Linked DNA regions of Macaca mulatta. The protein of the gene in region 1 purifies or fractionates together with the protein of each later gene. This does not show direct contact. Links are inferred from orthologs where the notes say so. Each region holds a gene or a part of one and is shown in the gene's direction. Other genes may lie near its edges.

What was found. Proteins that work in one complex are often made in the same cells at the same time.
Region 2: the proteins of SERBP1 (region 1) and RBM42 purify together in Homo sapiens (affinity purification with mass spectrometry; 3 studies listed by BioGRID and IntAct, with this or other methods). This does not show direct contact. The link is inferred for Macaca mulatta from reciprocal best matches to the Homo sapiens genes SERBP1 and RBM42.

Annotation. Positions count from the first base shown.
Region 1 is NC_133406.1:173,175,679-173,183,148, forward strand, and holds the start of SERBP1 (SERPINE1 mRNA-binding protein 1), read left to right. Parts: upstream 1-3,442; 5' UTR 3,443-3,544; coding exon 3,545-3,857; intron 3,858-7,470. UniProt on the Homo sapiens protein: Ribosome-binding protein that promotes ribosome hibernation, a process during which ribosomes are stabilized in an inactive state and preserved from proteasomal degradation.
Region 2 is NC_133424.1:46,887,643-46,894,967, forward strand, and holds the start of RBM42 (RNA-binding protein 42), read left to right. Parts: upstream 1-2,378; 5' UTR 2,379-2,502; coding exon 2,503-2,630; intron 2,631-2,868; coding exon 2,869-3,022; intron 3,023-4,399; coding exon 4,400-4,484; intron 4,485-4,590; coding exon 4,591-4,665; intron 4,666-6,200; coding exon 6,201-6,266; intron 6,267-6,341; coding exon 6,342-6,517; intron 6,518-6,951; coding exon 6,952-7,284; intron 7,285-7,325. UniProt on the Homo sapiens protein: Binds (via the RRM domain) to the 3'-untranslated region (UTR) of CDKN1A mRNA.

The DNA of each region.
Region 1 (7,470 bases):
ATGTGATACCTATATCCAGTGTCCCCAAACTGTTAGAATAGTTTGATTTTGCTACACGTGGTAGCAATTTAAAGATGAAGGACTTTTTCCTCTTCCTTGTTACCACTGGGTGCCCAGGCTGTAAGATCAGACTGCCAGACTCTTTCAGTCAATGTGAATTTGGGAGGGGCACTTAACCTCAGGTTCCCTATCTATAAAAGGGGGATAGAGGTAATACTACTTTTTACTTCATAATGTTATTCTGAAAATTAAATGAAATAATGCATGTAAGCTATTTAATATTTAATACTTAGCAGTGTCTACTGCGTAACAAATGTGCAAATGGTAGTAAGTAGACCCGGTGCAGTGGCTCATGCCTGTAATTCCAACACTTTGGGAGGCCAAGACGGGTGGATCACTTGAGGTTGGGAGTTCAAGACCAGCCTGGCCAACATGGTGAAACCCTGTCTCCACTAAAAATACAAAAAGTTAGCCGGGCGTGGTGGCACACGCCTGTAATCCCAGCTAATCCGGATGCTGAGGCAGGAGAATCACCTGAACATGGGTAGAAAAAAATGTAGTACAGCAATTGTTAATTATTACTATTATTTATAGCAACAATAACAGGGGGTTGAGATTATGAAGAAATGGATGAAAGCAAGTTGTAATGTGGCTGAGAACTGAATATTGCATTAGGATCCTGAAAGTAAATGAAGGCAGGAAGAAGGAGATATATAATATTGTTTCTCCATTTCGTTAACATCAGGCAACTACATTGGATATTTAATCATGGTTTTCAGCATTTATTGCTAGAAAACCCTTCAGAGAGGCTTGTTGTAGATAAGACTGTTAAGTTTCATGAGTATTTTTCAGAGAAGAAGATGTGATTCAAATATTGCTACAGAGAGATGACATTTTAGGCCACATGTCTAATCAGTGATACCGCCTGACACTTGTCGCTTTTATAAATCATGCCTTTAATTTGAATACTAGTGTCTGCCGGGAAATTTCTCTTCCCTTGAGGATTATTTGGCTGATGTTTTCCTAGTGAGAGTAGCAAGAACTTTTAGAATTTTAATATTTAATATTAAGAAATTAATATTTCAACTTTGTAGAATAAAGGAAACTGAAAATAACTAGTTATAAAATAACGATTGAGAGATGTAAAAGACCATCTTGAGCTTTATTTGTATACTTTAAAAATGGACTTTAAAACTTTTCAGAAATATAAAAGATTCTCCCCTTTTCTTCAAATGCTTATTCATAACATTTTTATGTAATCTTAATAGGTAAATTCTCTGAGGAGCATAAATGAACCTCATAAATTCATAGCCGAAAATTTCTCTAAGTGTAGCTTATTTTCAAATATTCTTATTATAATAATGCTTGGTGGTCACGAAGATCTGTCTGAGCAAACCAGAAATCTGTAATGGAGGAAAAAAATGACTAACAACAGGCCTGCTCCAGCCCCCGATTGTGGCAGGAGTAGTTAACTTACTTAAGCTCTTTGTTTTCATTTTCTTCATCTTAAAACAGAAGTAATAACCTTTTTTGGGGGGGGGTATGGAGTAATAACTTTCTTATAGAGCTGATGTAAGGTTTAAAGGAGATCACATACGTAAAGTGCACCAAGCACATACTAAAACATCACATTTTGGCTATGAATATCGTTACTGTGGCCGTGGCCAGAAAGAGGTAAGAAGGGGAGCTTTCACAGATGTCTCAAAGATGCAGATAGTCTCAAAGATGCAACAGCCCGTGAAGAGAGAGGATCTGTCAAAATGTGGAGATCTTCTACATTGCACTTGAGCTATTTCGAAAAGGTGGGAAGAGTATGGTCAAAAGCTCCTTGTCTTGGTAGGTGCCACAGAGCCAGAGCCTGTGAAAGAGAGGATGAGATAGGGGGTGTGTTTGAGGTTGGGGTGGGTAGGACTGAGGCAGCAGGGAAGTAAGTGGCTCTGAAGAGTAGGGGAGGATTGAGAAATAAGAAAACCAGGAGGTTTGCTGCCACATGTATGTAATATGACTCGTGTCTTCTATTTTCCCTGCTAAGGAATTGATTTAAAATCTGCTCGGAAATTGATGATTACATTCCGCCATGTTACATACCCTGACACACAACCATGTTTAAATCATATCGGAAACTTAAACATTGGACAGCTTTCTATCAGTGCAGAGTCTGAATTAAAGAGCTGATGTCCGGTCTCCTAGTGGAGGTAGAAGGCTGGGCTAATACCTGTCACTAGCACTTACAGAGGTGTGAATTTGGTAAATCATTTCATCTCTGAAGTGGTTTCAGCATTTGTGAAAAGAGGCAACTATTTGCCTAACACAATGTTGAGTTCAAGGTTATTCATAGCTCCTGCCAGAGATGCATTTGCTATTTTGTGTTAATGGAAAAGGATTTAAAAATTATGATATATTTAAACACGGTGCTACCAAATGTGCTTAAAATGCATTCAAACTGTATTCTTTTAATGAACTTTAATATTCTCAACTAGTATCAATGCTTTGTTATTATTAAGTATTGACTTCAATATTTCCCACCCCTCACCGCAACTCCTAGCACACACGCACTCGAAATGCTCTAAAATGGTATTTATTGAGCGCATGTGACTAACACCACAGCCACCTAAGCCCTGACTTGCCGGACACGAACGGACAATTAATTGGAATGACTGTAACAGCGTTTCTGTAAACAGTGCTTCCTAGCGGCTTGCCCAGTGTCTAGCGCTGCACAGTCAGGAGTTAACCACTCCTACGACACCGGCCGCCACACGGTGAGAAGCCCGGGAAAGACGCGCCACACTCCCATGTGATAGTTTCACTTGTCTTTTTGGTTAGTTCTGCTACCCTAGTTCACGTCCCCGCGAGAGGAAACGTATTCCACCTCACATTAGACAGAAGAGCCTCGATTCACCGTGGAGCCTGACAAAAGGGCACTCCAGCGACTGAGCTGCTCGGACTTGGCACAGGCAGGGTCCAGCCTACTCGCTGCCGGCGCGGCGTCTCAGCAACACCCCCTCCCCCGGAAGTTTGTGCGTCTCAGATGTAAGGTCTGGGAGTCACCTTGACCCTTCCCGGAGCGGTGGGGAAAGTTAGCCTGAGCCCGAGGGAGCGTGAGTGAAACCAAAGAGCACTTTCGCGAGTCAGCTACGCCGTCACGTTTTTCTGGTTTCAGGGTAGCTGAAGACCTACAGAGTTTAAGGGCGACCAGAGCAGGTGGCAGGACTCCGCCCACCACCACGCTTCCCCTCCTTCAGCTCGCACGCTTCACTCCCTTCTTGGGGTCCCGCCTCTCGGGCGCGCGCGAAGAGTTGTCGCGCGGTGCATCCTGGGAATTGTAGTCCCAACGCAGGGAGTCGCCTCAGGAGAAACTACTCTGGCCTACACACCCCACAGTGCCTTGCGGCGCTGGCCGCTCCCGGATGTGTGCCTGGCGCCGGAAGAGAAGACGGCCCCCCTCTCTCGGCCCGGCCATCTTGTGGGAAGAGCTGAAGCAGGCGCTCTTGGCTCGGCGCGGCCCGCTGCAATCCGTGGAGGAACGCGCCGCCGAGCCACCATCATGCCTGGGCACTTACAGGAAGGCTTCGGCTGCGTGGTCACCAACCGATTCGACCAGTTATTTGACGACGAATCGGACCCCTTCGAGGTGCTGAAGGCAGCGGAGAACAAGAAAAAAGAAGCCGGCGGGGGCGGCGTTGGGGGCCCCGGGGCCAAGAGCGCAGCTCAGGCCGCGGCCCAGACCAACTCCAACGCGGCAGGCAAACAGCTGCGCAAGGAGTCCCAGAAAGACCGCAAGAACCCGCTGCCCCCCAGCGTTGGCGTGGTTGACAAGAAAGAGGAGACGCAGCCGCCCGTGGCGCTTAAGAAAGAAGGTAAAGCAGGGGCAGAATGTGGGGGAGACTGGGATGGAGGGAAGGAGCGAGAGGGCTGCCGGCTACCACTTGTTTCTGGAGCTCCGAGGGTCCGCGGGAGACTTTGCCGCCTATTTCCTCACGTTTCTTCACGCGACAAAAGCCAGGTCCTGCGAAGGTGCCAGGAGCGTGGTAGCCCCAAGTTGAAGCCACCGCCGGCGAGGCTCTCGGAGCCACCCCCTTCCCGCCTTAGGTTGTGAGCGGAGGAGCGTGGTCGGAGATGAGCTGCTCCTCGAGCGCGCTCGGGGTCCGGGGAGGCTGTTGCCTTCCCGCCGGATTCCTTGGCGGGCGAGCGCATGGACTGAGGTGCGGGGAAGCCGGCCGCTCACCGACGCTTGCCGTAGTTACGGAGGGGCTCGGGGTCCATCGCTGCTTACTGCGCAGAGCTGCTCCTTTGAGGTGCTGTTGTTTCAGGCTCCTGTCCTGCCATCTTGTCCCACGACGGCGCGGAGTATCCCCGCCGAAAAGCAGGGGGTCGTTCCAGGCCATCGGACGTGTGGAGTCAGCCGCAGGTTGGGGTGCCGCGTGTGCTTTATTGTTTCTCCTCCACCTCTCAACTGTTAGGACTTTCTCAGAACTTGCTGGGGTGAGTTGAGCTGTTGGGAAATGGAGGAGTTTGGCCACACTCGACTAAGCAGAAGCGGGAATTATGAATGAAGACTGGTGATCGCAGGACGTCCCGAGGAAAGTCCTCGAGTCACGATCCTCTCTCTCTCGACTCCCCAAACTGAGTCTTTCACATGGTGGACTCTGGGCCTCGTGGGTAAAGTGAGTGCAGAGGCTGTCACAGCGTTAGTCGCAGCAGAGCTCTTTAGAGTCTGCAGCTTTTTTTTTCCCCCTCCACATGTGCGTGAAGCATGGTGAGAGTTTCACTGGCGGTTAATAGTTGCTTCCAGGGCACTGTGAGTTTCACAGGATTGTCTTGATTTTTGCATTCTCATTACCAGTTTGTTACGGATGAAAAAGAGCAAGTAGTTCGAAGATAAGAACGTGCATGATCAATAGCAAGCAGGTGTCGGACCTAAGGTCTGAATCTTTAAAGCTGTATTTATATGTTGAAAGTTGAAATTACCCCTTCCTGCCACGTGCTTCTCTGAAAGGAGTTCTCATTAGCTTTTGTTGACTTCTGTGACATTCAACTAATTTTGAAAATCAAAACAATTTCCTCGTGGTGGGATTTGTTTTAGGAGGTTTATTGGTTTTTGTGGTTTTTTTTTTTTTTTTTTTGAGGACTTTTATGAGGCTTAGAATGAAGAACCTCGGTCCTAGGTGGTGAATGAAAGAAAATAATTCTTGTGGTAAAATTATAGGTTGAGGAGAAACACAGTTGGAGTATTAGAAAGCATGTACATCACTTAGGCCAAGTATCTCTTCAGCCAATTAAGCTTTATGGCAATCTAACACACCTAAATAAATCATTTAATTCGTGTGTTAAGTAACGCTGACTTGTGTAATTATTTAAACTATGCTTAAGCTTAAGAAAGTAAACCAAAAAGTTGAGTCTGACGAATAGTGTGTACCAGGTAGATGTGTTCACTCATTTTGAATGTTCAAAACATGAAGCATGTTTAAATGCCTGAGTTATTTTGATCATGAAGCCCATCTAAGAAATAAGCTCTTACCTGAAAAGTATTTTAAGTGACAAATGTGGGGAATGATTTCATGAAGTTAGAACTAAGACTTAAGTTCACCATTCAATAAGTCTTTCCATGGGAAAACTATTCCATATTAGCAATCAACATTTTCCTTAGGTCAGTATTTCAGAGCACTCTTATTAAGTTGCATAAAATACAAGCATGTAAATACAGGAAAAGTGTTGAATGGACAATACCCGTTTTGAGATTCTACTGTCCTATTTACTGGGAATATATCTGTAAACAAAATCCCTGCAGATAGTAGGAAGGTTAACCTGATTGTGTTCTGTGGTTTTGACAACACATTGTGACATAATGCTTGACATACTTTAGACAGATATTTAATGTTTATGTTTTATGAATTAATTTTGTAGCTTCTCTTGCCCATTTGAAGAACTTGAGAATTGATAGCAGAATGTCATTGAGAGTGTAGACCAGGAATTTTCTAAAACAGAATGGATGCCTGAAACTAGTGCAGTTAATGAGCTTGCAGGTTATACATAAGTATATCAAAAGAAGCTTGCATTTTTAAATGTCAGTCTTTTTCATTAGGTGAGTTTAATCTAAGTTTCTAAGATTCTGTAAGCTTAATATTGATATTGGGTGGGGACGCCAACTATTGTTCACTTGGGTGTGTGTGGCTTGGATATTATTGCAAGGACTGGCTCCTTAACTCCACCCCAGTACACTTTATTACTGATGACATTTATTTAAATACCTTGGTGTAAGGTCTAACATTTGTAGTCTGTCTTGTATTTGCTGGGAATGAACTTCAAAATTCTATTGAAGAGACTGATAGTTACTGTTTGGCTCCAGTTACAGGCAATTGAACAATTGGGTGTGTCCTGATGGTGTTCTACTTTCTTAGAACCAAAGTGAAGCAGCTTAAAATCTTGTAAAACCAATTCCTCAGCTGCTTTATGACTTTGTCAGAAATTGGGAATTAGAGCATACCAACAATCTTAAAGTCATTAATTTAATCATCCATCTATTGATCCTTAAGGGCACTAGTAATTTACATTGGTTGCCTTTGTGGGGTTTCAAACATTACAGGAAAAGCAGTAAAGGGGGAAATTAGTAAATGCTTCAGCTATCACTTAGTGTCACAAGTTTCTTATTTCTTACATACTGCTTAAAAGGGGTCTTATGTGTGTGGATTTGGTTTTTAAAGATTATTTGACAATAAAGATAGTTGTTAGGGCAGATTTTTTAGAGGACTGTCTCCATGCATAATAAGTAACTGTTTCCTAACTTGGAAGTACTTAGAGATGTGGGAGTGTGTACAAACATATATACACTTACATGCTATAAATTTTTAAACTGTTTAATAGGGGAAGATGGCCCTTTTTGTGTGCCTGCAGTTGAGACTAAAAGATGACACTTTCTGGTTAAATGGCTGTTTTAAACTGAGGTGATGTTCTCTAATAATCCTAAATGCCATATTTTCCTTTCAGATTTGTGATTCCATAGAATTATGAGTCTTAATTGCTTTTTTGTTTTTTCAGATTAGATAGGATAACAAAGTGTGGCCCTCACTTTTGTGAGGGGCCATATCTAGTGAGTGTGTTGATTTGCTTGGTTATTATGAATGGCTGCTGGTATTTTCTTTGGTATTTTAAAAGCCAAAATGTATCACTTGCCTAACATTTTTTAAATTTAAAACTTTTTATTAAGAGACTGATATCTTGAAAAGTGACGGGAATAATGGTTGCCCAAATGATTTCCAAGTCAGTTATAGAAAATGCTTATGAGGGGGAGAATAACTTGGCAAACTAAATAGAAGTTTAAAACAAGTTTATTGTCTGTATTTTATTTATTTATGTATTTGGTCCGTGGTATGGATTGGAAGGTTTATTGTCTTTAAATGGCAGTTTCTCTAAGGTACTTTGTTACACATTAGAGTTACCCAGTGTTTACTTTTTTCCAACAGGAAATGGTAG
Region 2 (7,325 bases), on another chromosome or scaffold:
AAGTGCCATTTCTGACTAAGAACTAGGGACTCTTGTGAAAACAGCTGATTCTAGGTCTGGGGCAAGAAATGTGCAAAATGTGTACAGGATATTTTGTGCCAGGAAGCAAAGAAGTCCTCCAAGACTACTGTGGCCAAGTCAAAGGAACTCAGGAGCCAGTCTGAACGGCTCTCACTGGCCAAAGGTGGGGCATGTTGAGCAGTAAAAAGAACCACAGTGGTTTGAAGCACATCAAATATGCCTGAATCTGTAAGTTCATGTTGATACTCATATACCTCATTGAAATCACCTTTGAAGAATACTAGGCACCCATTCATTATTTTGAAAAATTTTATATATAAAAGAAGCATGTTCTCTATTTTTCTTATACGTACAAGTAACCAATTTTTTTGTTTGCTTGTTTGTTTTTTTGAGACAGGGTCTCGTGCTGTCGCCCAGGCTGGAGGGCAGTGGTGAGATTTTGGCTCACTGCAACCTGTGCCTCCTGGGTTCAAGTGATTCCCCTGCTTCAGCCTCCCAAGTAGCTGGGATTACAGGAGCGTGCCACCATGCCCAGCTAATTTTTGTATTTTTACTAGAGACTGGGTTTCGCCATGTTGGCCAATCTGGTCTCGAACTCCTGACCTCAGATAATCTGCCTGCCTCAGTCTCCCAGAGTGCTGGGATTATAGGTGTGAGCCACTGTGCCCGGCCTAAGTAACCAAATTTCTGATGAAGAGGTTATTTATGGAAGAATCACAACTAATAACTTCAGAGAAAATACTAGAATTCAAAAACCACTATTTGCCATGAATTAATTAAGTGATGGATACAAGTAATGATGATGAAGGGCTACTAAAACTATTAGGGGAAAGGTTGATTGGGCTGTCTCAAAAAATAATAACAAAAATAAAAGGCCAGGCATGGTGGCTCACGCCTGTAATCCCAGCACTTTGGGAAGCTGAGGTGGACAGATCACTTGAGGTCAGGAATTTGAGACCACCCTGGTCAACATGGTGAAACCCCATCTCCTCTAAAAATACAAAAATGAGCCAGGCATGGAGGCACAAGCCTGTAATCCCAGCTACTCCAGAAGCTGGGGCAGGAGAATAGACTGAACCTGGGAGGTGGAGGTTGCAGTGAGCTGAGATGGCACCTGCACTGCAGCCTGGGTGACAGCGAGACTGTCTCAAAACAAATACATAAATTAAAATTAAAATACAAAATAAGAGTGTCAGACCTCTGAGCCCAAGCTAAGCCATCATATCCCCTGTGACCTGCAGGTATACATCCAGATGGCTTTAAGCAACTGAAGATCCACAAAAGTGAAAATAGCCTTAACTGATGACATTCCACCATTGTGATTTGTTCCTACCCCACCCTAACTGAAACGATATATTCTCCGCCCACCTTTAAGAAGGTACTTTGTAATATTCTCCCCTGCCCTTAAAAAGGTACTTTGTAACATTCTCCCCTGCCCTTAAGGTACTTTGTAACATTCTCCCCGCCCTTGAGAATGTACTTTGTACGCCTATCCCAAACCTGTAAGAACTAATGATAATCCCACCAATCTTTGCTGACTCCTTTTTCGGACTCAGTCCGCCTGCACCCAGGTGAAATAAACAGCCTTGTTGCCCACACAAAGTCTGCCCAATTGGTGCTCTCTTCACACGGACGCGCGTGACAAAGAGAAGAATAGATCAAGTGAAATCCAGACGTGTTGAATATTGGTAGCGTTTGAGAGGTACTTAAGAGTTCGTTATACTATTCCCCCTAATGTGCATGTTTGAAAATACTCAGAATAAAACACTTGTGAGGGCTACGGGGATAAAAAGAAAAAAAAAAAAAAAGGGTCAGCTGTGGCCCAAGAAAGGACAGGGACCAAGCCCACGGACGTGCTCCTCTGAGTTGCACTAGTCTCTGGGCCTTGACTCCCACACTGAACAGCCTCCTCAAAAGTCTTCAGCTGTCGTCCAGGAAGCCCGGGTCAGGCGCTTCCTCCTGGGCGTCTCTGGTCTTCGTGGGAACCACAGGTCGGGTGTCAACCTGGGGACCCCAGGCCTCCCAGCCTTGCCCAATCCTGGGGTTGACGCAGACTTTAGCGTCTTTTTAAACTTCCGGCGCAGGCTCCGCGGTGGCACAGGACGGTCCTCCGAAGTTTCCTGCGTTCTCAAAGGTCCAGATTCCACATTGGGGATGGGCCCAACTGACTTTGCTTCGCTCTCATTAGCCCGTGGGCCGCCAGGAAGGCGGGGCCGCCTCTCTTCGCTGTGCTCTCATAGGCCCAGGTTCTTGCGTTCTTGTGTCCTTCTCTCACTCTGATTGGCCTGTAGTCCCCTGAGGGTGTGGAAAAATCTCATTGGCTCTCGCGTCCGAACGTATGACGTCATGCGCCACCGCCCGTCGCTTTCGCTGGACGTCATCGTCGGGAGCCCACCCAGACGAAGGCTGAGAGTAGACAGCAGAACCAGCGGCGGCAGCTAAGCTGAGACAGTAGTAGCGGCGACAACGACGGCGGCAGCGATGGCTGGGGCGGGGCCAGCCCCGGGACTCCCGGGTGCAGGAGGACCCGTGGTCCCGGGTCCTGGCGCTGGCATCCCGGGCAAGAGCGGCGAGGAACGCTTGAAGGAAATGGAGGCGGAGATGGCCCTGTAAGGCCCGCGACAGGGAGTAATAAAAGTCGTCCCAGAGCCAGAGCCACCGAATCCCGGAGCCTCCAGGCCTCGATAGGCCAGAGATACGGCTCTAACATGGGGAAGTGGGACCTTCGGGATTGTGGGGGCGGGGATAGGGGAGAGGTTGGCAGGGGTGAGGGTCCCCTCGCGATATACCCAGAGTTACAAAATTGGTACGAGGTCCTGAGCGCTGGTGTCTGTTCTTCTCCTCCAGGTTTGAGCAGGAAGTTCTGGGGGCTCCAGTACCCGGAATCCCAACTGCTGTGCCTGCGGTGCCCACGGTCCCCACGGTCCCCACGGTAGAAGCGATGCAGGTCCCAGCGGCTCCTGTGATCCGTCCAATTATCGCGACCAACACATACCAGCAGGTACGGCTGAGCTAAGGCATATAAGTTAGGGAACACAATGCCTCGAACACGGTAGGTGTTTGTGTAGAGAGCTGTTGACGTTTTAGCTTGTTGACTAATTAGCATGACAAATATTTTATGTGCCAGGCACTGAGAACACAGTAATGACTGAGGGAGACATTTCTGCCCTTTGGGCGCTTATATTCTAGAGCATGTTGTCCAGTAGAGCTTTCTGCAATGATGAGAATGTTCTGATATATTTTAAATTCATATTTAATAGTTCGTTATTCTCAGTCACATTTCAAGTGCTCAGTAGCCAGCTATATATGACTAGTAGAGAAAGAGAGAAATTATTGAGAATAGGCTGGGCGCTGGGTGCGGTGGCTCACACCTGTAATCCCAGCACTTTGGGAGGCTGAGACAGGCAGATCACAAGGTCAGGAGATCCATCTTGGCCAACATGGTGAAACCCCGTCTCTACTAAAAATACAAAAATTAGCTGGGTGTGGTGGCACGCGCCTATAGTCCCAGCTACTTGGGAGGCTGAGGCAGGAGAATCACTTGAACCTGGGAAGCGGAGGTTGCAGTGAGCCAAGATTGCACCACTGCACTTGAGACTGGTGACAGAGCGAGGAGACCAGTGACAGTGGAGTGAGCAAAGAGGAAAGTGGGAGGAAATAAGGACAGAGAGGTGAGGCCAAATCTTGGAGAGCCTTACAGCCATTTTAAGAACCCTGGCAGCCAGGCACAGTTGCTCTTGCCTGTAATCCCAGCACTGTGGGAGGCCAAGGCAGGTGGATCACGAGGTCAGGAGTTCAAGACCAGCCTGGCCAACATGGTGAAACCCCATCTCTACTAAAAATACAAAAATTAGCCGGGCGTGTCGGCGGACTTCTGTAGTCCCAGCTACTCAGGAGGCTGAGGCAGGAAAATCACTTGAACCCAGGAGGCGGAGGTTGCAGTGAGCCAAGCTTGTACCACTGCACTCCAGCCTGGGCGACAGAGCGAGACTCCATCTCAAAAAAAAGGAATAGACTGTAAAAGACAAGGGCAGAAGCCAGGAGATGGAGGAAGGGGCTAGTACGGTAATCTAGACAGGAGCTAATGGTGGCTTGGATGGAGGTTGTGCATGTTAGATGGGGAGGAGGTTGGACACAGTTGCAGTCGGTGCTAAGTGCTGTGGGGAAGACGAAATAAGGTGGTGAGAGAAGCTGCTGCTCAGAGAGCCCTAGTGTGATCCCAAAAGCCTCCCCGAGAAGTGGCATTGTAGCTGAGACCTGAGATAGCCAGTCACATACAGAACATAAAGCATGAAGCTCTTGGTCTCTTGGGGTGAGCTAGCCTCAGCAGATGGGGAAGGCTGAGTCAGGCCCCTCACCCTGACCTCTTCCCCGACAGGTCCAGCAGACTCTGGAGGCCCGGGCAGCTGCTGCAGCCACAGTAGTTCCTCCCATGGTGGGTGGCCCTCCTTTTGTAGGCCCCGGTAAGTAAAGAGTGGCAAGGTGAGGGGGTTGGGCAATCAGGCAGGGTGGTAAAAAGGTGTGCCCAGGACTCTCCTCCCACCATCCTTGCCTCTTCCCTCCCAACAGTTGGCTTTGGCCCTGGTGATCGGAGTCACCTGGACAGTCCAGAGGCTCGAGAAGCCATGTTCCTGCGGCGGGCAGGTGAGTCTGGGGTCAGGGACCCCCACATTTAATCAGGCACTCTTGTTTACATGACTTCAGCCTCTTGCCTGAATCCTTGCTCTAAATCACCCTTTGCATTTCATCCCAACTTGATGTTGTCATCCTAAAGCACAAACCTGATCATGTCCTTCCTGATGATGTCAAGTCAATTTTGTTTTAACCTGATCACTGCAAACCAACCCTCCTGCTGTCAGTCCTAATTCCAAATTGCCACAGCACTTAACACCTCATAATAAGCTGTGTCATTTCTTATTGACTATGGCTATCATCTTTTGCATTCTCTGAAATACAAGCTCCATGAGGGGCAGAAGTCTCAGTACCTGCCACATAGGAAGCATTATGTTCTGTCTGTTGATGGGATGAACAGACTGTTGAGACAAGCACCAGGCTCTTCCCCTGGCAGTCACAACCCTACATGACCTTGCTTCTTGCAGGGAGAGATCCCCAGCAGCCCGAACATTTCTGGGATGTGCTAGCAGTGCTTTTGTTAAGGTCCCTTCTCTCCCTGCTCACTGTCACCCAGCTGTAATCTTCCAGCCATCCTCCCCCGCAGGCCATTTTCCACATTCCACCTTCTGTTCTTCAAATAACCTTTACTCACGCTGTCAACTTGTAGGACATTACTTCCTTATATGTATGAAAAGGATGCGTGTTCTTATTTGGATGTAAAATTCTGGTATAATCTTTGTTAAACCAAACATGCTACTTATGTTACCTAAACCCTGTTAAACTTTTTAATCTGATGATCTCTGAGAAGTTGTAATGTCTCTTAGTTTTTAGTATGGTTTTGATCAAAATGCAAATCTGACCTACTCCCCCTGCCCAGCTTCCAACCCGCTGTGGCTCCCCAGTGCCCTCAGGAGGACACCCATGGTTCAGCCAAGAATGCTGTGCTTTCAAAACAAAACAGTTCTACTTGGGTGTCTGCTGGCCGCTTAGCCCTTCTCATGACACTCTCTAAGCCCCGCTTCTTCTATTACAGTTACACTAAACTGAAAAGGGAAAGGTTTTGCTTATAAGTGTTCTCCCTGCCAATAATATTCGCAGTCACCCTTTGCCTAACACTTCATTGTCCCTCGGGTCTCAGCTCACAGGTCCCTTTCTCCAGGAAGCCTTCCCTAGGCCTGGCTGGGTCAGAGGGCTCCCCTCTCTTAGCACTGATCCCGCTGCCTGAGCTTCCCCACTTCCAGCCCTGGTCCCCATTGTCTCTCGTTCTCTAGTGATGTCTCCATTCGCTCCTCTGGACCAGGAGCTCCCTGAGAACCCTGGGTCTGTGGGTGTGTCCCCAGCATTGCCTGCCACAGGGCTGAGCCGGAGGAGCTCCTCAGTGGTAAATTTTCATGCAGTGAACCAGGGGAGAGGCCCCCAGGACTCCCCAGGAGGGCTCCCCAGACTCTTCTCCAGGATTTCTTGTATGCTGAGAGTGCACACACATACACGCACACATGCACACACACTTTGCCCCAAGTGCCCCTGTCCCCCATGACACACACCCCCATCTCTCTCTCCCACAGCTGTGGCCCCCCAGAGGGCCCCTATCCTGCGTCCAGCCTTCGTCCCCCACGTGCTACAGAGAGCAGGTGAGGGGCCAGGGTCATCATCCCTGCCACATAACTCCCCCCAGGCCCTGGAACTCCCCACTAACACCCTGACAGATTCTGCTCTCTCCTCTGCAGCAGCCGGCCCCCGCCCTATGGCCCTACGGCCCCCTCACCAGGCCCTTGTGGGCCCCCCTCTGCCTGGGCCCCCTGGACCACCCATGATGCTGCCACCAATGGCTCGGGCTCCAGGTCCCCCGCTGGGCTCCATGGCTGCGCTGAGGCCCCCTCTGGTGAGTGGACAGGGAACTAATGGTCAGACGTGCGGTGGACGGGGAGACCATCCATCCTGGCCCAATGGGCTATGTCTGAGTTGGCCTCTCCCCTGACTTTCTGTTTCTCTACCTTCTCACTCTGCCTTTATCTCTGTCTCTTTCTGCATCTGTCTTTCTGTGGCAAAATCTGTTCTCTCCTTTTGTGAAGCAAGTACAGAGAGAAACATGCTATTGGAATATTTCTCTTTTGATTGTTCCTGATGTTCTTGTCTGTGGCTGTCTCTCTCTGCCTACGTTTCTCCTTCTCTGTGTTTGGCTGGCTGGAGACTCTGCCTGGGTGTCTCTTGGCTGCTCTCTGGCCTCCAGGCCCTTGCTTTGTTGGATGGAATGAGGATGAGAGTAAGGTCTGAGCCTGTGAGCCAGCCCCCCTCATGCTCTCCTCTTACCCACAGGAAGAACCAGCAGCACCCCGAGAGCTGGGCCTAGGCCTGGGGTTGGGCCTGAAAGAGAAGGAAGAGGCAGTGGTGGCGGCAGCGGCTGGGCTGGAGGAGGCTAGTGCGGCTGTGGCCGTGGGGGCAGGAGCTGCCCCAGCTGGCCCTGCAGTCATCGGGCCCAGCCTGCCTCTGGCCCTGGCCATGCCCTTGCCCGAGCCTGAGCCCCTGCCCCTCCCGCTGGAGGTCGTCCGCGGCCTTCTGCCCCCACTGCGCATTCCTGAACTCCTGTCCCTGCGTCCTCGGCCCCGGCCCCCTCGGCCAGAGCCACCCCCTGGCCTCATGGCTCTTGAGGTAAGCAGGGAGCCTAGTGGTGAGGGGACAGAGGGGACAAG